3 linked regions of the Alligator mississippiensis genome follow. The protein of the gene in region 3 interacts with the protein of the main gene of each other region in a pairwise test. Links are inferred from orthologs where the notes say so. Each region holds a gene or a part of one and is shown on either strand. Other genes may lie near its edges. The genes, in order: LARP6, SYNJ2 and ITSN2.

Region 1 (7,572 bases), on a different chromosome or scaffold from region 3:
GATGCGGAGCCCCGGGGTCAGAGCCCAGCGACCCTGGCGAGGGGCGGAGGACCAGGGCCAAGGTGGCAGAAGCCCAGGCAGGCCTCCGCAGTGCCACGTCAACTCGGAGCTCCGGATGGGGCCCGATCCGGCCGGCGAGGCCAGGCGAGAGTTCCAGGAGCCTGGCCACAAATCCGGCTTCATCCCAGTAAAGTGCTCCGTTGCCAGGCAGGCGGGGGGCAACTTGAAGGGTCCCAGCAAGCACAGAATCTCCCAGAGTCAAAAAACCCCACCACGCTGCAAAGTTGCTGCACAGGGAATGCTTGTATGTGTGGTGTGTGGTGCTGCAGATGGGTCTGCACTGCCATATACCACACATCTGTTCTCATCTGGATGCGCCCAAGGAGGGTGCATGGCTAACTGGTAGCATGCCTGCCAAAAAGGTTGGCTTCCATTGAACTACAGGACTGAGACAGAGAAAAGCAGCAGAAAACCAAAGGGATAGCCAAAACAACTACTCGTTACAGATCTCTGAGAAAACTGATGAGAGAGCTTTTGGACTAAGCGCTGAGTGGAAAACGTCTTAGATCTCTGCACAAAGTAATTTCCATCTTCTATTTGATTCAAGGAAACAGAACTTCTTTATTCTTTGAAAATAAACAGAATTGCATCAACAAAGTACTTGACTTTATCTGTTTTTCCTCCTAAGCTAAAAACCTGCTAGCCCTTGAATGTGAAATAACCACTTTGTTCCAAAAAAAAGGATAATATTGAACCTATTATAAAGTTTAATATTTTAGCATGATATTCTTTTCTGGGAGTGGAGGTGTTTTTTGGCTTTTTTTTTTTTCAGTCCAAGCTACAGTATTTCGAAGAGAGTTATAAACTACTTTGACATTCAACCCACACAAAGGCACTCTATTGTACCAAACTCAGATACAATAGAGGAGTGCATGATGCAGATTTGATGATCTGCTCAGGTCCCTTCCAACCCTACCAACTATGAAACTATGCAAAGCCCTCAGTACCACTAAAATTGCATAGCAGGTCCATGTAAAAATCATCACAGAAAAGGGCCATTTAATAAGGTGTCTTCGGGTCTTTGGGGTGAGTGTGGTCATGGAATCACCTCGGTGGCTCTGGTTAGGATTGTACAAAGGCAAAGGTAAAGGTTTTCTGAATAAGGCAGCATTCAGAAGATCAAAGCTCAGTTTCTAATTGCCAGCAACATTACATGTGACTTTAGAAAAGTCACTTAATCTGTCTGTGTCTCAGCTTTCCTTCTATCATATCTTACAACAGTAACACAAGCATTAATCCATAAATGTTTGGGAGACAGTTGTATTTTGGTTAGGAAGCCACAGAAGCACCTAGGCACACAGATTGGAGACAGTTTGGAAGGAGGAGCTATTGGATCTCATAGCCCAAATATCCCACCTATGGGATCCTACTTAAACCAACATATGAAAGATTAGGCCAGTGCCTGGGAAACCACTTGTAGAGGGGCCTGCCTAAAGACTAGGATGAATTCCACCATGCTACCTCCCCAACGCAGTATCACAATGCCCAGTTATAGCCTTGTATCAGAAGGGGTGGCTTTTAGCCGTAATAGACCCAGAATCAAATAGGGAAATCATGAACTGAAGTCTGTTTTTTGGGGAGCACAAAAATGTATATATCATAGATAACTCAGACAATAAACTATAGTGGGAAAGTTTACCCAAATGAGATTCTTACAGTTTGACCTTGGGTGGGGGCCAGAGACTTATGCTGGACAGATGCTGTCCTCTAAGGACTTGTCTATATTACCCTTACCTGGAGATTCTCCCACCTTGGCAAACACTGGTTAACTTCTACTGGTAGCAGCGCAGTTCCTACTGGCACTGGCATCAATGCAGTATTTAAAATGGCTTTGGCTCACACCTACACTAAATCTTCCAATATTACAATATTTCTGGAGCAGAACTGGTAGTAGCAACAGCAGGCACATTTAGAGAAATGTAGCCAAATGGAGATAAGGCCTAACGTTATACTATGCAATGAGCACCAACAGATTACAGGTGGTCCGACTTACAACTGGAGAACATCTGTCAAATTTCTTTGGACACTTTCTTTAACAAAGCAGACAAGACTCCAGAGAAAGCTGCAGCCAAGACTGACAAGACTCCAGCCAAGAGCCCTTCAAAAAGTCCAACCAAGAGCCCTTCAAAAAGTCCAGCAAAGAAGTCCTTCCAAATCAATGATTGCTATTTACAATATAAATACATTAATGTAGCCATATTTCTCATCTATAATTTATCAAGTGCAAAGTTCTGGGGTATTTTTGGTGAAAATAGGTTATCGGGCATTGGTTCAGGAACCAATCCCCCATTTATAACATTGTTTCTTATGAGAAAATTGGTTCCAACTTACAACTTTTCAACTTAAGACGTGGTTTTCAGGAAACAATTGTGTTCTAAGTCCGAGGACTGCCTGTGGCATTCTGCTAGCTGACAAAGACCTCTAGTTAGTTGCATAGCAGGGCAAGTAAGTCATCTCTGTAAAGAACCTCTCTAAGCACCAGATAAGCTAAAAAAATACAAAAATACAAAAAATCAACCCATCATAGCAGAGCTGTATTTGTGTTCTGTTTTGATGGTGACAGACCTGCCTGCAGAAAACTTTTGAAGTGCTAAAAACTAAATCCAGCCCCCCCGCCTGTCTCTCACCCATTGACTCCTCAATCCACATTTTCACTGACCACCTGTCTTGTATGCATACCAGCCCGACCTCTGGCTTCTTTACTTTTCATTCCATCCAGCAAGAGCACACACCAACTGCTGAAACTTCCTTAGCCTGACGAAGGGTTTTTGAACCCGAAAGCTTGCTTAAATTTTTCTTTTCCAACTACTTAAGTTGGTCTAATAAAAGATATCAGATTCACCCAAAGAACCTTGTCTCCAAAAATAAAAAATGAAGTCCAATGGACATGTCTGCTAATTCAGATTTTTAATATTGAATATTATTGAAATTGTTCAATAATATTGAAAAATGAAAACTTTCCATTGAAAATACTGAGCAGATGCACTTAAGTGAAGACAATTTTCCCCATAAAGTTGAAGGCGCTGAGGAGGCCACTACAACATAAGGACTAACCCAAAATATGGACTGAAGTAATAATTACAAATTCATCTCCTACCTTGTGATCCACATGTGAACAGTAATGAAAGAGGCCTCTCTCAAGGCTCTTCCCAAATTAAGGAATAAGGACTCACATAGTAAATGTTGTCCTGATCCTCTAAATGTTATGCATGTTTCGCTTTTATGCATGGAAACAATGCCGTGAAATCTGATGACTGAAAGTTATCACATGCAGGAGGGCTCTTCAGGGGCTATATGTTTCTTGTGTGTGTCTGTAAAGTACCACATAGTTCTATGTTGTATCATCATTAAATTATAAATGTGTGCATTCAAGTCTTTGTCTATTCATGTTTCTTAGCCTCAGCTGTTGAATTAAAATTTTACATTTACATAGGGCTCTATGAGAATGCAAACCCATCAAGTGTCTTTCTGATAAGTCTTTGTTTTCTAAAATGAAGAATGAACAGAAATTCACTTTTAAAGAAAAGGAAAATCCTACCATTTAGTGTTGCCAAGTTAATGTTCTTAATTTGCTCGGATGTAGTCCTGAAATAAGAGAGCACAGTGAGGTGTCCCTGGATTCCAGGCATCTCACTGGGGTGCTGATTCTGAACCCTAACAACTACTTCAAAAACAACCTGGTTAGCCTGTTTGCTGGTTTTTGCGGGTAACTGAGTAAAGGACCACCTCTGTGCCTGCCCTCCTCCAGGTCCCTCCCAAACTGCCTCCAATGCCTGGTATTTACTGAACAACTTGAATGATGGGTTGTCCTTGGCCTGCCCCCAACACCAGTCACCGCTGGGACTGGCCAGGAGGCTTGGGAAGCTATAGGACAAACTCCCCCCCTGGTCAGCCTGGAGCGAGATCCACCCCAGCAGCCGCGTCCCCTCTTCTCAGCCTTCTGACTAAGATCAATGGGGGGCACCCGAATCCCAAGACCTCTGGGCTTGCAGTAGGATGCGTGCCAATGGATCTGGGAATATCTGAAATCCCAGGGTGAGAACCTGGGACATCAGATGCTCACTGGTTGTAGCCAGACGTGGCGGTTAGCCCCGTGGTGATGTGTAGGGGGTGCACATGCACCTCCTGACCGCCGGCCTGGCCCTGCTCAATCAACGTGGTTTGGGGAAGATTGAGTTCTTGTCGGTCTTGTGCTTTGGCCGAGGAACCCTTTGCTGGGGTTATTTCACCCCTGCAGTCTTCCCTGCCCGGAGCAGGGGCTGGACCCGATGATCTCACGAGGTCCCTTCCAGCCCTAAACTCCAGTACAGCTGTGAATCGGATTTGACCTGGAACACGAAATATGTGAAGACTAATAACGTTGAAATAGCCCTGCCTGAAACCGGGCGTGAGCGCCTCTCCGTGGCTGGGGCGGGGGGACCCGACCCCACCCCTTGCCCCTGGTCCCGGCCCGCAGGATAGAGGCGGGCGGGCTGTGCTGGCGCCTGGCGGCGCTGCCCCCTCCCGCTCGCGCTGCCCCCCGCGGAGCGCGCAGGCTGGGGGCGGGGAGCTGCAGGCGGGCGGGGAGCGGGCGCCGCGGCGGCGGGTGCAGCGGGGCCGGGGACGCCGCTCGCCGGGCTCCGGCGGCTGGTGGCAGCGCGGTCCCCGCCGCCCGGCCCCATGGCCGCGCCGCGCCCGGGCGGCGCCGTGGCGGAGGAGCCCGAGGCCGGCAGCCCCGCGCCGGGGCGGCAGGAGGCCGTCGGGGCGGGCGCGGAGCAGGCGGGGGCCGGCCCGGTGCGGATCCGGGTGGCCATCGAGGCGGCAGAGGAGGAGGAGGAGCAGGAGGAGGAGGGCGACGGCGCGGCCCTGGCCCTGGCCCTGGCCCCGACGCCGGGCTCCCTGGGCGGCGGCAGCTGCAGCGAGGACGACTCGGGCAGACACGGGAAGTCGAGGTAGGGGCCGGGCGGGGATGCGCCGGCTCCTTGCCCGCGGCAGGGAGCTGGGCCGGCCGCCCCTGGCTCGCCTGCTGACCTGGCAGCGCGGGGGCGGCCCCGCCGGGGAGGAGCGCGGCGCCGGGGCCAGGCGACGTCGGCCGCGGGGGAGCCGGCGCCTCCCTCCCTGCTTCCCCTCGGCATCCGCCGCCGCGGGGCGCTCGGCTGGGCGCTGCTCTGCCCCGAGGGGCTGGGCCGGGCCGGGCCGGGCAGCCTGGAGCCTCGTGCCCTCGTCGCCGACCCTGAGGTCCCGGCCCACCTGCCCGCACGGACAGCGCTGCCTGCCTATCTCCAGGCCTGGGGCCAGCTGCTTTGGGGCGCTGTTTGCAGCGGCAACAGCGTTCATTAGTACCCACTGGGCCTTACACAGCCCAGTGGATCCATGAATCCGAGGCCTCAATGCAGTTCAATCCAATGGCTCGACTTCAGAGCCAAAGTGTGGCCATGGGCCGGGGCCTTCCTGCCCAGAACCGGTGCCGGACACGGCCCCCTCTCCAAGCCTTCTGGGCTGGAGGCCAACGGCTCGGGGCTGGCTGCAGCTTGCTGCGCTGTCTGACACAAAGCCAAGGCCATGCTGGGTCGCGCACCCTGAGGCACGGGCGTGTTCCTGCAATAGAAACGTTCACCAGCCTTGTCCTATTCTGGGGATTGTGGCAGATAATGTAAACCTGCTGCTGTAACAACCTGACTGCTTTCAGGAGGCGTTTATTCTGTGCCCATTGTTACACGTAGTGGAGGAACCTTGTAGAGCTTATTGATCCATTACTGTGCTTTTAAAGGTGTGGGAGTCGAAGCCAGTGGGGGTCGATTTGCACCTTGGAGTCTAACTAAATTAAGAAGTGTAGAGCATAAGCTTTTTGTGTGCCTGAGCTCACTTCAACAGATGCTATGAAAGGAGTGTATGAAAGGAGTGTACACAAAGCGGTGTATAGACTGGAGAGGAGAGTGATTTGAATGCAAGGGACTGGGAAGAGAAAGGCAAACAAACAGTAAACCCATCCAGACAAAGGGCATGGGATAAGAATCTCTAATCCCTGTTTCAGACCATACTTAACACTTAGAGGGGCTGCCTGTGAACCAGGAAAAGTTTGTCCCCTCATGACTACTTTGAAAGTTTGTCCTTTTCCAGTTTGTGGATGCTGTTCCACAGTTTCCCATTCAAGTTCATTTGTAAAGTGTGTAGCTGCTCCCAGACAGCAAAGGAGGTCAGAGGGAATCTCCAGGGAGGCTGAAGCTTTCTGCCACTAGGTTGGGTGTCTCTAGATCTGAAGTCAGATTGGTGTTTGTTAGGGATGCATCAATAGAGATTTTGGGAGCTGATACCAATAGCTGATTTTTTTTTTAAGAGGTATATTGGCCAATACGAATCCGATTTCTGATACAGTGTGCAGCTGCTAAGTCTGATGTGGTGGAAGGGGAGTGGGGAGGGAAGGGGAGCAGATCAATGCCCCCCGCAGTGAGGGAGGGAGTGGGACAGGGTCTATGGCAAGCACTGCCCAACCGGGGTAGGGTGGGGCAGGGTGGGGCAGGCATCGGATGGAGCCACGGCTCATCCAGGGGACACAGGGGCTCCCACAGCTGTGCCACCCCAGGAGGGCATGGGGGGGTGCCCCTGGGTCTGCGCTGAGTGGGGCAGGCAGGCTGCAACGCGGGCTGGAGCCAGGAATGCACCAGGCTCTTCTCAGCGGGGCCTGGGCTTGGGGCGAGCAGTGACAGCACTAGGGGGGAGGCTATGGAGGGGCTGCAGCCACCCCAAATTTCACTGTAGCCCCCCCCAGTGCCCCACTTCCCAGCACCACTTCTGCTTACCTTGAGCCCAGCCTCTGCAGAGAAGAGCCCCACCCCACGCAGATCTGGGGGCACATGCGCCCTCCCCCTGCGTCCACTAGACAAGCCATGGCTCTCCTGTGCCCCATCCCATCCCGGCTGCAGTGGTGTACTGACAGGGGAACTAGGGGGGAGGCATGGCCCCTGGGCACAGGGCTGCAGGGGGTACCGACAGGCCACAAAACCGGAAGCAGTGGCAGTGGCGTGGGAAGCAGTTCCGATTTTGCCCCCCCGCCTCCAATTCGCTGAGATTGGATGCTGCTGGCGGTGTCTGCGGGCAGTCGCCAATCACTGCTCGGGGCGCCCCCCCTGCTCTCGACCCTGCCGCTGGAATCTGCAGGGGGTGACCAGGCGGGGGGCATGTAAGCATTGGCCCCTCAGTACCCGAGACCCTCGTTACGCCACTGCAAGGTTGGGCAGTGTCTGCCCTGCCCTATTCCCTCCCTTCCTCACCACGGGGAGCATTGATCTGCCCCGCCATGCCCCTTCCCTCCCCTTCCACCACAACAGACTTACCAGTTGCACACAGCTCTTCAGTTGCTCTCTGCCTGTGTGCTGTGCTGCAGCTGTGCACATGCATGGGCGTTTATCAGCCGCTTTAGGCCAATTTCCAATGCAGCCAATTTTCTTTATATCAGTGCCCATGAACAACGCGTGCCCCTGTCAGCTGGGGGGGGCACAGCAGTGGCAGGAGCATGGCGGCAGTAAGCAGAGA
Region 2 (7,203 bases), about 120 Mb from region 3:
CTTAGTAAGCCTAACTTCAATTTTAATTTATCTCCCAAGACACATCTCAAGATACATCACATCTTTACCAAAACACTGGAGACCCTGGCACATTTTGGGAGATACAATCTAACTGGGAATTCCCTTCACCATTACTAAGCAGAATGGGAGCATAATTTTAAGTCAAACTACAACTCTCAGAAGGGACTTCAGCAGTATTTCAAAATCTAAATATTTTTCATTTTCTTCTGAAACATTATACAACTAAAAAGTCAAAATTTTCAAAAGATTATTTTTCTTTTCTCAATCAGCTCTGTTTGTTACATATAATGTTAAAACTCTTAATGGCTGCAACATAAACTTAGTCACACTCCAGACACTGTGTGGTTGCTTATATGTACAGTGAAATCTATCACTACAGTCCTATTAGTAAGAAGCGCTGCTATAGCCCCTTCGATTTGGCACAAAACACTTTCGCTAATTCATCATTTAAACACAGGGATTTCCAAATGTACATGCAACTAAATCATAATGGAATTTGTTCCTGATAATTAGCTGAAAAGGTGCTTGTCACATGACCTCTCAAACCAGCTGATGCTCATAAAAGCATCTGACACTTCAGTTTTCCTCATCTCAAGAGACAGAGAGGATCAACTTTCCAATTTTGCACTATTCTCTTCTATTTTGGCAATGAGCAGGTATAAGTGTGCAAAGCAAAAATCTTTTATTATTTTTGTTCATAATCACATAATTCATATATAGCAAGCGCACTGAATTTTTGTAGTAAGATTTTATACATTAAGCATTTTTTGTACAAACACAGAATTGTCTAGTAACAAGCCAGAGTGCCAACAATTTGGATTCAGGATATAAATAACAATCTGAGTGTATATTACATATATAATATATAATGTATACAGTATGCACATATATACATATACATATAATACATACACATACATATATTCTTCATTATAAATATTGAAGATCATCCTTTACTGGCTGTCCATATGACATGAAAAATACCTGTCATGAAAAGCATAAGTGGATAACTGCTGATAATCAGTTATTCATGGGTAATCAGCATTACCAATCCTCTTAGACTGAAGAATTAATACAACAGTAAAATCAGGCTATTATTTTTCAAATGCTGAAAATGCCACTGAGGCTGCAGAAAGCACAAAATACACACAGTTCTTACTCTAAAGATTTTAAAATTTAAGGTCCCCTTCCTCTGAGCTGCTCTGAATCTGCAGACTGCCTGCAATGCCCAGGCAGAATCACACTGAAGACAGTGGACTCCAAATATGCCTATATTCCTGGCATGGACAGACTAAACAACTCTTACACACTTATAAGTCTAACTACTAGTAACAGTGTAATAACCAAGATAGTAAACAAAATCCAACATTTGTGCATCAAGGCTATGTTAAAGTTAGTAACGCAACTTAACTCTCCAAGTGTTCAATGATTTTTTTGTGACCAGTTTTCACCCTTAATGTAGGCTTTAATGTAAGCTTTGACATTTAACATACATAGAACTTAAGTACAGATGTGTTCATTGCTGCTCTACCTCTAGATGAGACTGAGGGCCTGTCCACATGAAGCAGACTCACACTGTTGCAACAACGTATGATGCAACTAGAGATACACCGCTGTTTGTCAATGTACTGTACCAAAACAAATCCCACCAGGCTAAGTAAACTCTGCTTTCAGCTGGTACTGGAGCATCTCCACATACAGCTTCATAAAGCCTACCTCCCCAGTGTACACCAGGACTCAGGCCCTTTATTTTGGAAAATATTTTTTATTTTTTTCTTCCCCTTGAAGTCTCCCAGCAGCGGTAGCCCTGCACAGAAGGCAAGATGGTCCATCTGCAGGTAGGCCTCACAACAGCTCTCCCACTCCTGGCTGAGGCTGCAGCCACAATGGAGGAGAGAAAGCCACAGAAATGAAGAAGTCAAGCACAGGTGCAGCAGTGCCGTCCTACCATGAGGGATTTTCTACCAAGCCCCAGGGCAACCACTGCTTTGGGCAGCCTTTTCTGGCAGGTGTGCCACAAACAGGCCCTGCATCCTCCTTGAGCTCCGCTCTGATCCACTTCCCTGCCTGACCTGCTACTCTGCTCTCTACCCGACCTCCTGCTTTGCTTCCAGCTCCCTGCCCTGCTCTTTCTGTTCCCCAGCCCTGTACTCCCTGTCCAATCTGTTGCTTTGCTCTCTGCTTCTATGCCTGTGCTCCCTGCATGATCTGCTGTTCGGCTTTTTACTCCCACCTCTGTGCTCCCTCCTGATCTGCTGTTCTGCCTTCTGCTCCCTGCCCTACCTGCTGCTCTACTCCCACCCCTCTTCTTCCTGCTTGGTCTGCTGCTCTGCTCTCTACTCCCTGCCCTATCTGCTGCTTTGCCCCAACCCCAGCGATCCCTGGCCAGTCTGCACCTTTGCTTTCTGCTCTCGGGCCTGTTCTCCCTGGCCAGCCCACTCCGCTACTTTCTGCTCCCCTCCCTATTTGCTGCTCTGCTCTCATCCCTGTTCTCCCCGCCTGGTCTCCTGCTCTGCTGTCTACTCCCCTCCCCATCTGCTGCTTTGCTCCCACCCCTGTTCTCCCTGACCCATCTGCTCCTCTGCTTTCCGCTCCCCACCGTTTGCTGCTCTGCTCCCACCACTATTCTCCTTGCTTGCCCTGCTGCTCCGCTTTCTTCTTCCTACCCTACCTACTGCTCCGCCCCCGCCCCTGTACTCCCTGGCCGGTCTGCTCCTCTGCTCCCCACCCATTCTCCCTGCCTGCTCTGCTGCTCCGCTTTCCGCTCCCAGCCCCACTGGCGGCGGGCTGCACCCGCTCTCCCTTTCCCCGTCCTCCCGCCCTCGCCTCAGGGGGCCCGCGCCCGGCGCCTCACCCAGCGCGGCCAGCGTGCCGGCCTCCAGCAGCAGGCAGTCGGGGCGGCTCCGCGCCTCCAGCAGGGCGCTGGGCACCGGCTCCCGCTTCCACAGCAGCCGCAGCCCCTTGCTCAGAGCCATGCTCCGGCCCGGCCCGGCCCGGCCCCGCCAGCCGCTCCCCGCCCGCAAACTTCCCTGAATTGACTTTGTCCCGCAGCTCCGCCTCCCGCGGGGCAGAGCCGCCCCTCGCCTCGCCCCGCCCCGCCCCGCCCCGCGCCTGAGGGGAGCTCCAGGCTGCCAGGTGGACGGCCATGGTCACTTTCCGACTTTCCCTTCACCCCTTCTAGGATGTAGGATCCCTAACAGTAAAAGAAAGGGTTGAGCCTCCCACAAGAAACCAAAGCCCCCCTGTAAGGTTTAAAAGAAAATTACCTGGAGGGGTGGGGGGGTCTCTGATTTTATATGGGCATCTATCTAATGGGCTACCTAATTTTCTTTGCAGACCCCCGGCAAGAGGCAAAGTGTGATTCGAACCCGGAGTAACAGTGCTCAGGATGTATGAAATGCACAAATCGAGAACTCCCGGTTCTGAAATGGGACCTTTCATTAGACCAACTGGGCAATGGCAAAAAAATATCCTTTTCTGCAAGTCTTCAGGCTCAAAGGCCTTTCATCAGGCTCTGGGAAGTGAGGCAGCTCATTTCCAATCATTTCCCAAATTATTTCCATCCCTGTGTTACTGTTTTTAATGAGTTAAGCAGAGTCTGCAGGGCAGTGAGGCAGCAGCTGAGGGACAGCAGGGTGGCAGAAGAAAAAATAGATCGATTAGTGGAACATCAAGGCTGTTAGAAAGGAGAGAGGGGTGTTCAGGCCTATGCAATGAAGCATTGGCGATGTGTAGGGGGTGCACGTGGCAATCCAGTTAGAGAATGGAGATAGGTAAGGTGAGGTCATAGCCTTTTATGGACCAGTTGCTAGGAGAGGTAGGAGAGACTGCAAAAAGATGTGACCTCCCCTCACAAATCTTCCTCTCCCTTCATCAATGTTCTGTCTCACTTCCAATCTTGAATAGTCATGTAGCCCCCTTAAAAAGCTCCCACACTCCTCCTCAGGGTGGCTATAGTTCACTGATGAGGTACAGCTGTTCCTTGCTTAATCAAAGTTCCTGCTGACTTCACTGAGAGTTTTGCCAACTGGAGCTGGCCCTCACTTTGAGAAATGCTTTCAGCTGAAAGGAGCTGTGTACATATAAGTTATTTTATAATTAATACACCTCTCACCTTTATCAATAGCCAGGAACCAGCTTTCCCCAAGTCGCTACTGAGGCAAATGCTAGATTTTTCTTGGGTCAGGTTTCTAGGCTGTAGCTGTAGTGGTCTAGAGATAAAAGGAATGAGAACTCATTGTAGAGGTGATATCTTTTATTAGACCAACTAGATTTTTGCAAAAAAACCCATGCCTTTAATTGCAAGCTTTCAGGCACAAGCACCCTTCTTCAGGCATAGGAGAAAAGATTGTAAAAGTTCTCCTAGTTAGAAATTAAAGTTCATATTTCATAGGAGAGTTAAAGGTGTGATAAAATCTCCTGTTTGGCACAGTTCATTTTATGTAGGTTAGGCTCAGAGAAAAGTTGGAAGAGTCTGTTTACTTCAAAGTTGTTTGGGATCAAGCAGGATGTAGCCATATTTCCTTCTGGTTATAGTGTTTCATATTTCACAGAAGAGTAAAAGATGGAATGCTCTTCTGGGCAGGAATTTCTTGTGTGGGGAGGTTTTCCTTGGGGCACAATAGCAAGGTAGATGTGGATGAGCGAATACAGCTCTGATGGCAGAAAAGCTGCATCTCAGATGCAAATACTTCTAATTAGTTAGAGTGAACATGACTTTAGCTAGCTACACAATCACAGTTGTGGCTGTACTGGGGATGAACCCTAATTTGCTAAGTGGACAGAGAAAAACACAAAATACCCTGAATATTTCCTATTATTGTTGTTGTGATGTTGTTTGTCTTGCACACTGCCAAGGGACATCGTCCAAGGTTATATCAGGCTAGGCAGTGTACAGACATACATATAGCACAGTTCCTGCTTCAGAAAGCTCAAAGTAAACAACTCTCAGGAAAACAGATTTGTATGCTCTCTGTGAATCTGTTTCCAGAATCTATAATATTCCTAGTAGCAAAAGCTTTTCAAAGGGCAGAAAAATGTGATTTTTTTTTCAAGTTTATGATGCTTTTAAAACAGAAGAAATGATAAAGGGGTTTGTGGCAGGAAAGTGTGTCAGTGCATATATTTGGCACTTTGATTCAGATCAATATGGGACAGTGTGGAAAGTCAGGGAGAGAGAACCTAGAAGAAATCACCTAGAAAAGTATTCAAATGATAACAGGAGAAGAAGGCATAAGAGTAAGCTCAACATTTGTTTTTCAATGGATATAAACCCCCCCACAGAGAATAATGTAAACATTTCACATCCTAATCAGAACAAGGACATACCGGTTACAATGAGTTTCCTATAGACATGGAGGCAGGACAGGGATTAGGGCTGTGTGAGGCTTTGGACCGTGCTTCAGATCCAGAGAAGCTTCAGACGCTTTGGTGTCCAAAGCAGCATGTTCGGATCAAAGCGCTGGCTTCGTTAGGCTTTCTGACGTGGTTCAGAGCTTCCGAACTGCTTTGGAAAAGCTTTGGAGCCGCTTCGGAGATCCGGCTGTAAGGTATAACGGGGAATCAAGGAAATATCTATAACTTTGTTGTTTTTTGTTTTATTTGGATGAAACTTGCAGGGGTGATAGCCTCTGATGAGAGCATGAAGCCTGCCAAGTTTCAAGAAGATCGGTGCAGGGCTATGGGGGAACTGCACCCCAAATTCTTGAAAGCAAAACGCATGTCACGGCTATGTGTTACACCACAGGGGGGTGAAAACTGCAGGGGTTCCTCTTTCCCTAGAAGAAAATACCTAGCTGAGATTAAGTGGCAGGAGTCCTACACTAGTAAGCCCAGGGTTGTCTAATGCAGCCAGTACTGGAGAGATGACTTGAGAAGGGTTGGTTTATGGTAACATTCTCCCCTGCGAATCTGGTGGTGTGTCATTCACTTACATATAAAAATATCCAAATCCCTCTTTTGAGCATCTGTTGCCTTTTGAAGAATGATTGCTGTAGCACCTTGTGCTCATGATAAGTTTTTCTAATGCATCATCAGAGCTTACTGTCACTTGGAGGACAAAGCCATCTCAATGATTCTGTACTTTCTGTGCATATAATTCATTTGTACTTGTAATTTGCAGCAAAAGACACTAAAGACATAAATACAAGAGTCAGGATAATTAATAGAGAGCTCAGTGCTTGAATTGTCAAACAAAATATTCACCTAGCAGGGAACAGGGCTGCCTATGATAAACTTTCTTTTAAGCACAGCAACTTAGGTGCAGGGAACAAGATATAAATGGCTTGTCAGAGGTGAGGGAAAGTGGGAGATTAGAAACATTTAGCATACTGTAATAAAATTAAACACTTTCTGCAAACTTTAAAAAATGATGTCCTTGTGACTTTTCTGGGTTGGTGACATAGAACAAACTGCCTGTCTGAGAAGTCCTCCTTTAACACATTCTCTCACTTAAGGGCTATGTTCTTTTTAATATTAGAACCTCATGTGTTTTTTCGATAATGGAAAAAAGTTTGTCCATGAAAGGTACTCTGTGCTTCATGGTGGCTGCCATGAGCATAGAAGTACCATCCCAGATCAGACCAGTGGTCCATCAGATTAAATATCCTATTTCCCAGTATTGGCAAGTGGCAAGTAGTAGATATTTCAGAGCAGGAGTGTCAAATTCATGCCTCCTCGCTGGCTGGATCCAGACCATGGGGCTTCTTATGGGCCTCATCCAGATTTGATGGAGGAACAAGTAGCAGTAGGATGACCATCTGTCTCTAATTGGGCAGCAATTAGTCCTGGAATGGGAACCTCAAGTCCTGGTCCCAGGCTGCACGACTTTGGGACAGCATTTATCCTGGATTTTCAGTGTCATACAGGGATCTGCAGGAAATGGCGGGTTTCATTTTGCAGGCTGGCAGGGTTTCAGCCTACAAGGGGCTGATTGGGGTTGCCAGGAGCAGGACGCAGGGGTGCCACGTGCATGCATGTGCCTGCACACATGCACATAGCCAGGAACATAGCCAGGCAGCCTGGAGAGCAGCTCCCTGTAGGTAAGTTTATGAGGAAAAGGCATATCCAGGCAGAAAGGGGGGGGGGTGCAGATTGAGGCCCCTTATAGTTTCATAGTTGGTAGGGTCAGAAGGGACCTGAGTAGATCATCAAGTCCGACTCCCTGCCATGGCAGGAAAAAGT
Region 3 (7,347 bases):
GTGTGGGAAACATGAGGGCCAGAAAGCCAGCAACAGGTAGAGAAGGTGGATCTGCATGCTGTCTCACCCTCCCCAGCTCTCAGAATCCACACATTTGCAACTGTGCATGCCCCCCCAGGGTTTGCCCCAGACCTGTACACCACTATCCTGCACTTAAAAAAAAAAAAATCTAAATAACTGTTTCTATCTTGGCCTAACACACAAATGAGTGACACTTATTATTAGTTGTGGCATGTATCCTTATAATTCAATTTTACAAGCCAGTCAAGTAATAGCACCTATCCCACAGAGTTTATAATCACAGAAAGAAAATACAATAAGGTTTCTAGACTGCATTTCAAGGCAAAGAGGTGACTAATGAGCAGGTAGGAAGGACGATGGGAAGGGGGAGAGACCAGCTGAATAACAAGGAGATTGTTCCAGACATAGATACAGGATGACTGTAGATACAGAAACCAAGATTGAGAAGAGACTAATTAAGATGAAAGACTTGGGGAGAGTGGAGGGAGCAGGAAGGGAGGAGTATTAAATACTGTTTACAATGATCACAGATTCTTTTTCTATTCTTACTACATTATCTCCAGCTGAGCTAATGCTTCTCTGTAGAGAGAACAACAAAATATGCCTAGATATTATGAAAATAAAGGCTCTAGAAATACTTAAAACAACCAGATCTTTCATATTTTTCAAGTCTTCAGTGCCTTCCCTTTGAAATTTAGTTGGCTCGCTGCCTGCAGTCAGTCAGCAAATCCCAGTTATAGGCAGCACAATGTTCTGAAAGGTGATAGGTGTAAATCCCTACTGTCAGCTGAACAGATCATAGATAAAATTGTCCATTCTTTGAAGGAGCAGAAGGAACAAAATTATCTAATGCCTCTGGTGTACTTCATAGTTTGGCTCACTTCCTCTGCAGTATTGGTGCTTGTCCAGACATGCTAGAAACCAGTGATTTGCTCTTCCGGTCCAAAACCCATACCTTTTCCGTGACCAGATAGTATCTTGGATTAATGATAGCCAAATCCCTTCAGTCATGTTCTTAAACTAGGGGCACCAACCTTATAGCGGGCTGGATGTGTGGCACGGTCAGCATGCCGGCCAGGTCCCATGCAGGGTTGGCATGTGGGATCCAGCACACCAGCTTGATCCCCACATGCCTGGATCCAATTGCGCACTGGTGTGATCTAGCATGATCTGGTGCACAGGGCCATGTTATCTGGCACACGGAGCGCCACATGGGTCTGAAAATTTAGCAGCAGGGGGTGAACAATTAATGATACCACCACTTCCCCACTTAGGGAGCCCTTCTGGCTGGATTACATAGATCTGTGGGCTGGATCTGGCTCACAGGCCAGGAGTTGAGCACCCCTGGCTTAAACAATTTAATAGTGAGGAATAAACAAAGATATTGATAAGCAGAAATTGATTCCAGCTGTATGGAAAGACTTCCTCACCATGACCCACAGCTTGTATGCAGGTCATAAATTGCTGTCTAGTGGATAAGAGAGGTTGCCTTACTATTGAATTTAAGTAGCCAGAAAGAAACAACTGCAGAAACGTTTGCCTGGGATCTCCTGAGCCCATATTTACAAGAAAAGCAGCAGGACACTCTTTGCTGTGATTCCCTTGTGTTACCAGTAGCATGCTAGGGTGTTAGGTCTATGCGGTGTCAGGGCTGATGGTAGTCTTACACAGAGTTATTGTATAGTGTGGCTCGGATAGGGATCATCCTGCTTCAGCCAGCCCTAGTTTTCTGTGACTCTATGAAGACTTAATTACCCAATTACTCAAGGGTGCCCACTTCTCACAAGACAACCGCTCTCTCTCCCATCTCTCGGTTCTAATCCTTAAAGGCAAGTCTACAAACTTCACTTCATCAATCTACTGGATACAAAAAAAAAAAAAATCATGCACTTAATACAGACATTGGATTTACCACACATTATAACCTGCCTGCCATCCGATAACCCCAGGTAACCTGTCTGCATTTTACCAGCTCCGTTCTATCACCAGATCAACATCCTCCTTCCCCACAACTTACCAGTCTCACACCTATTGTCCCCCATTCCCTCTGATCCTCACTGCCACGCATTTGCATTTTCACAAACCTGAATTTTGCAAATTGGCTTCTATTCTACCCAGGACAGCACACATCATACCACCAGACTCCCTAGGCTGAAGAAGGGTGTTTGTGCCTGAAAACAATTTTCCCAACTATTTAGTTGGTTTAGTAAAAGGTATCACACATCTACCCAAAGAACCTTGCCTGCCTATGAAGACTTGAATTTTAGTCAGTTTTGGATTTTAAACTTCATTTAACAATGAGAAAGATTTCTAAACTCCCTGCTTGCCATCTGACACCTCCAGGGAAGGAATCGTACCTGATCTACACAACCAAGAGCAACTCAGAACAACTCACAAAGACACGCTCATAGATCCAGAGGGACAGATTTCCATCTTCCGCACCCTCTGTCTGTGCAAAAGTGAAGTTTATTTCCTACCTATTGGGAATTTTCACTATCTTTAATTTTCCCAGAGGCCGACAAAGGGCATTTGACGTTTATTTTTGGGGCTGTCCTTGCTCGCAGAAAAAGATTAATTTTGCCCCACCCGAAAGCTCGCAGAAAAAAGATGAATTGTGTCTGCGATTTTCTCGTTGGTCTAATAACAGGTCTCATCTCTGAACTAAGAGCTCTAGATTTTTGCATTTCTTTCCGTCTCGGGCTACCAAATGCATCCTACGAAGACCTGAAGCGCATACAAGTGCCAGCGTCCCAGCAAGGAGGAAGGGCGCAGACACCTCCCACCACTGCTGTGGTGCAACTAACCCCGGGTTTTACTCCGCAGCAAATCCTCTGAAGCCGGAGGCGGGCAGGCAGGCAGGCGGCTCTCCCCGGGGCTCCAGCCCCCCAGCTCTGAGCCAGAGACAACAACGACGAGGAGAAGACACGTGCTACCGTACTTAGTTTGCACGGGTCCCGCTTGCTTTACCAGAGAAGGCAGCGACCCGCACCTGCTCCCCCGTGGTCCTCCAGGAAAGACCGCCCGCGCCGAGCGCGCTCCTCCACCAGCGCCGCCCCGCAGCGACAGCACTCAAAACTCCCCAGCTCCGCACCCCACTTCGTCCCAGCCAGGGGAGGGTTAAAGACACTTCATCCTCATTGGCCAGCACCCTCTTCTGCCCCGCCCACTTCCCTTGTGACACCCACGGGGCGGAGCCAGCAACAGGTGATTGGTCGACACCATTTCCTCAGCTAGCCGGGCTGCGGCGCGCATGCGCATTGGGCGTCGGCGTTCTACCGGGGCCTGCGTGACCGGTACCGGACAGAATGTTCCGCCGGCGTCCGCGTCACTTCCGGGGTCGCCGCCGGGTGCAGTCCGCCAGCAGCGAGGAGGAGCCGGGTCCCGGCGTCGAGGGGGGGGAGGAGCGGCAGCGGCAGGGCCCTGTCAGCCCCGACCCCGGTCCCGGTCCCCCGCGGCTCCCGGAAGCGCCGACGGTGAGCGCGAGGGGCCAAGAGGCGGCGGAGGACGGAGGCGAAGGCGGGGCCCGGCAGGCGCGGGGGGGCAGGGACCTGCTCAGCTTCGGGAGCGACGAGGAGCGAGAAGGTAGAGCCCCCCCTCCCCCACTCGCCCCGCAGGCGTCCGGGCTTGGCCCCTCTGCACCTTACCCGCATGGCGTAAGTTGCTGGTGGAGCGCACAGTTCACATGGACTGGCCCCACGGGCCAAGTCGGGTGATAACCACGTCTGTCCTGCTCCCCCAAGAGCCGGGTGGCAACAGAATTAGTGCTTGGAAATGTGTAGCGGCTCCGGAGGTGGTTTCCAGCCAGCTTTCGGTTGAATGTGCATCTCAACCCCAGGGGCCGGGCAGAGGGAGCGGGCGAGGAGGCCTGTGGGTCCGACATAAGGTTTGGCCTCATGCTTGCTCGTCCCATGCCAAGTGTCTGCTGCGTACCAATGACTGCCTGACTCCACGCGACGGAAAGTATCGCGGGAAATGCCCCCTTAGACATCCGTGGTGCATCCGCACCTTGAAAAATGTGCCCAGGTCTGGTCCCTGCACCTCACAAAGGGTATAGGAAAGCTAGAGACGGCGCAGAGAAAGGTGGCGAGGACGATCGGTGGTGTGGAGGGCTTGTGTGAGGAGGGAGGAAGAGGCCAAGCTTGACTGAGTTTAGAAAAGAGGGGTTTGAAGGGCAACATTAAGAGTTTACAAAATGCGAAACAACGCAGAGAAAGTCGCTAGGGGTTTGTTATTGACTGTCTCACAATACAAGAAGTAAGGGTCACAGAATGACGCCAGGTGGTGAGATTAAAAGTAATGAAAGGCAGTTCTTTCTCTCTCAGCCTGTAACTTCAGGGTGGAACTCATGGGCGCCTTTTTGAGCTGTCCTGGCTGCCGATGGCGTTTCTTCATGGCTTCGTTATTCACAAAATCGTGAAACAGTTCCTCGGCATTGTTTCAGAAAGCTTTCTTTAAGTCCTCTCTGTCTGTAAGCACTCGCCCTTCCTAGCTATAGCTACAGCTGCAATGTAACTTGGCTGTGTGGAAAGAGCACGTTTAGTTACAAACTTAGAAAAGCTGGGGGTCTGTTTTTTTCAAGCGAATCAGTAGCTTGTCTGATGCACTCAAATTTGTCTGCTTCATTGACTCCAGAAAATTTGGCTTAGTGCTTGGTTGTGAAATGGCACTGGATGCTGAAAGTACAAGATACCACTCTTTTACTACACAGGCCACAAACAACATGATCCCCTTTCTGCACAAAACCATACAATTCTCTCCACGCTGGCTGAAACGTTCAAGTATCCAACTTGGGTTTTTGCTATCCATGACTAAGTACATATAGGCCTCTTAACCAGTTTAAGTAGTGCAAGGGTTCTCAAACTTTCTTTTGCTGGACCTCATTTGAAAATATTTTAGGCTGTGGCAAATAGAGATGTGAACACTTAACCATTCACATACTGATAATTGGTAATGCTGTACGAGTTATCCTTTAGCTTGGGGCGAGGAGCAGTCTGGTGAGGGAATGGGAGAAAGAGAAGTGGCATCATGCCCCGGAAGGTGGCAAGACAGGTAGAAGGGAGTGGGGACTTAGTATGGCAGGGAAGCTATGCAGCTGTTGGCAGCCTGCCTGCTGCCTGTGCTGCCCCAGGCCGCTTCTCTACCATGTGCTCTGAGGCATGTGTGCAGCTGCCACCACTGCCACAGAGCCAGTGCTGGAACTCTGGAGCTTGGTGCAGTTGTTTGCAACCTCCTAGCTGCCTGCTGCAGCTGCCTAGAGCCTGGGTCACCTGTGGCTGGCACCTGGGAGGCTGCAAACAAGCTGTACTGGTCTTGAGTATGGATGGGCTCAGTGGCAGCTGTGCCTCAGCAACCCCAGCTCTTTCCCATCCATGCATTCTGCAGCCCCTTCCTGACCCTACACCCAGAGACACGTGTGCAGCTGTGGCTGCTAAGGAGCCCGGTGCAGCTGTTTGCAGCCTCCCAGCTACCTGCCATAGGCAGCCTAGGCTCTAGGCAATTGCTGCCTGCCACGGAGCATGGGCTGCATGCAACACAGCTTGCAGCTTCTCAGCCGCCTGCTGTGAACAGCCCAGGCTCCGTGGCCAGAAGCATCTGCCCAGAGCCCAGGCCATCTGTGGTATGCTGAGCAATATGGCCTTGCGTGCCATGCTCTGGCATATGTGCTGGAGGTTGCTGATTCCTGTGTTAGTCTATGATTAATCTTAACTGTGATATAATTTGTTTTCTATGTTTTCCTCTCTCTTCCTTATTGTGGTTAAGTCCAGACATATTCTGTCTGAGTTAGTACTTAATGTTGCCTATAGTTAACCGTTAGTCTTGTTTCAAATCCTAAAAGGGTTATTTGAAGATTACTGCGTTTGTAGAGGCAGCAGCAAAAAGCAGTTTTTTTTTCCAAAAGACTTTAGGCCTTGACATAGCGTTTAACAGTCTGGGGTTACTTACCAAATGAAGGGCATAGACTACACCACATTGCCTGGCTACTGGCACTGTACAGGAGCCTCTCCAAGGCCTGAAGGCAGAAGTTGTGGACCTGGATGCAGAGGCAGACCAGGCCCTGTCTGCTGTCCCACAAGGGGAGGCTCAGGACATCTGCAGAGACCCAGTGCTGTTCCAGCCAGAAGAATCCCAGCATCCATCTCTGGAGACTGGCCTGGTGGGACAGGCGTTTCCTCCTCCTCTGCCCCTGTGGGGGCAAAGGTCCAGCAGAGCACTGCCTGAACCACCCAGTGCACTACGTCCCCCAACACCAGGAGAGGGGGAGATACAGCCCCTTGTGGTGGGGAAGGGGGTAGCACAAGGGGTAGCAGGACAGCTGGCGGTGGGTCTGTGCAGCATCTCCCTCAGGGTTTTTGGTGGGGACCCTGCTTCTCTCCTGTCTGTACTGGGGTTGCAGGATGTGCTGGAGGTTGTAAGATATGCTGGAGTCTGTGGCAAGGGTGGCTTTGATTGGGGCTGGGGGAGACAGTTCAGGCACCTGGGTGGTGATGGTGGGCTGTAGGTCCACACACAGTGGTGGTAAGAATAGCAGGAGCCTACAGCAGCTCAGCAGGGCTCCTTCTGATTCCTGGCCCAGCAGCAGCCAGGGGAAAGTGGTGGCACCCCTCTTTGGACACGGGGCACTGGGCAAAATGGTCCCATTCTCTGACTCAGGAAATAGCAGTTCTTATGTTCTATGTTCTCATATCTGCTGTGCTTGTGACTTAGGATGTGATTTGGAATTGCAGTATTCACAAGTGTGACAGGGAGCGAGGCCAGCCTCATAGTTGGCCCACCCACCCGACTTTTCTGCCACGGCTTTGTTGGAATTAAATAGTTGTTTTTAGGCAGGAGGCTGCCCCTTTTGTGTCCTGATGCCAAGGGCGTAATACATGACTCTGAACCATTCCTACACCATGTCTCATGCCTCACAGATGGCATCTAAAATGACTTCCAACTCCCCTGGCCCCTTTGCTGGGCTGCACTTGGCCTCCAGCCCACAATTGGCCTCAGGTGTCCTCAGATGTACCTTGGCCTTTTCTGCCCCCCTCACTGGGGCCACTACTCTGGCTGACCTATGCGCAGTCCTTCAGGCCCCCATGGGCCCTACTCCACGTGGCCTCCAGCTTTCACTCCACCCCCTCACTGGGGCCACAATTCTGCCCTCTCACTGGGGCTTCTGGGCTTTATACCTGTTAGGCCTCAAGTGTCTGTTGACATGCCTGGATCCCTAATCTGTTCCCTCTATGGGGTTACCCACCAGGTGGTGGGGGCTGAGGCTATATGGTACCTTGCACTGGAGAGGCACAGGTGTAGCATTTCCTGGAGACCACAGGCAGCCCCACCACA

What was found.
Region 1: the proteins of ITSN2 (region 3) and LARP6 interact in a two-hybrid assay, tested with the Homo sapiens proteins (2 studies listed by BioGRID, with this or other methods). The link is inferred for Alligator mississippiensis from reciprocal best matches to the Homo sapiens genes ITSN2 and LARP6.
Region 2: the proteins of ITSN2 (region 3) and SYNJ2 interact in a two-hybrid assay, tested with the Homo sapiens proteins (2 studies listed by BioGRID and IntAct). The link is inferred for Alligator mississippiensis from reciprocal best matches to the Homo sapiens genes ITSN2 and SYNJ2.

What each region holds. Positions count from the first base shown.
Region 1 is NC_081834.1:36,752,703-36,760,274, reverse strand, and holds the start of LARP6 (la-related protein 6), read left to right. Parts: upstream 1-4,548; 5' UTR 4,549-4,719; coding exon 4,720-4,991; intron 4,992-7,572. UniProt on the Homo sapiens protein: Regulates the coordinated translation of type I collagen alpha-1 and alpha-2 mRNAs, CO1A1 and CO1A2. Stabilizes mRNAs through high-affinity binding of a stem-loop structure in their 5' UTR.
Region 2 is NC_081824.1:136,179,708-136,186,910, reverse strand, and holds the start of SYNJ2 (synaptojanin-2), read right to left. Parts: upstream 3,045-7,203; 5' UTR 2,997-3,044; coding exon 2,876-2,996; intron 1-2,875. UniProt on the Homo sapiens protein: Inositol 5-phosphatase which may be involved in distinct membrane trafficking and signal transduction pathways. May mediate the inhibitory effect of Rac1 on endocytosis.
Region 3 is NC_081824.1:15,603,130-15,610,476, reverse strand, and holds the start of ITSN2 (intersectin-2), read right to left. Parts: upstream 3,078-7,347; 5' UTR 3,011-3,077; exon of another isoform or gene 2,989-3,010; intron 2,945-2,988; exon of another isoform or gene 2,826-2,944; intron 669-2,825; exon of another isoform or gene 1-668. Other genes in the region: intron Large complex component GCFC2, read left to right, coding at 3,327-3,603.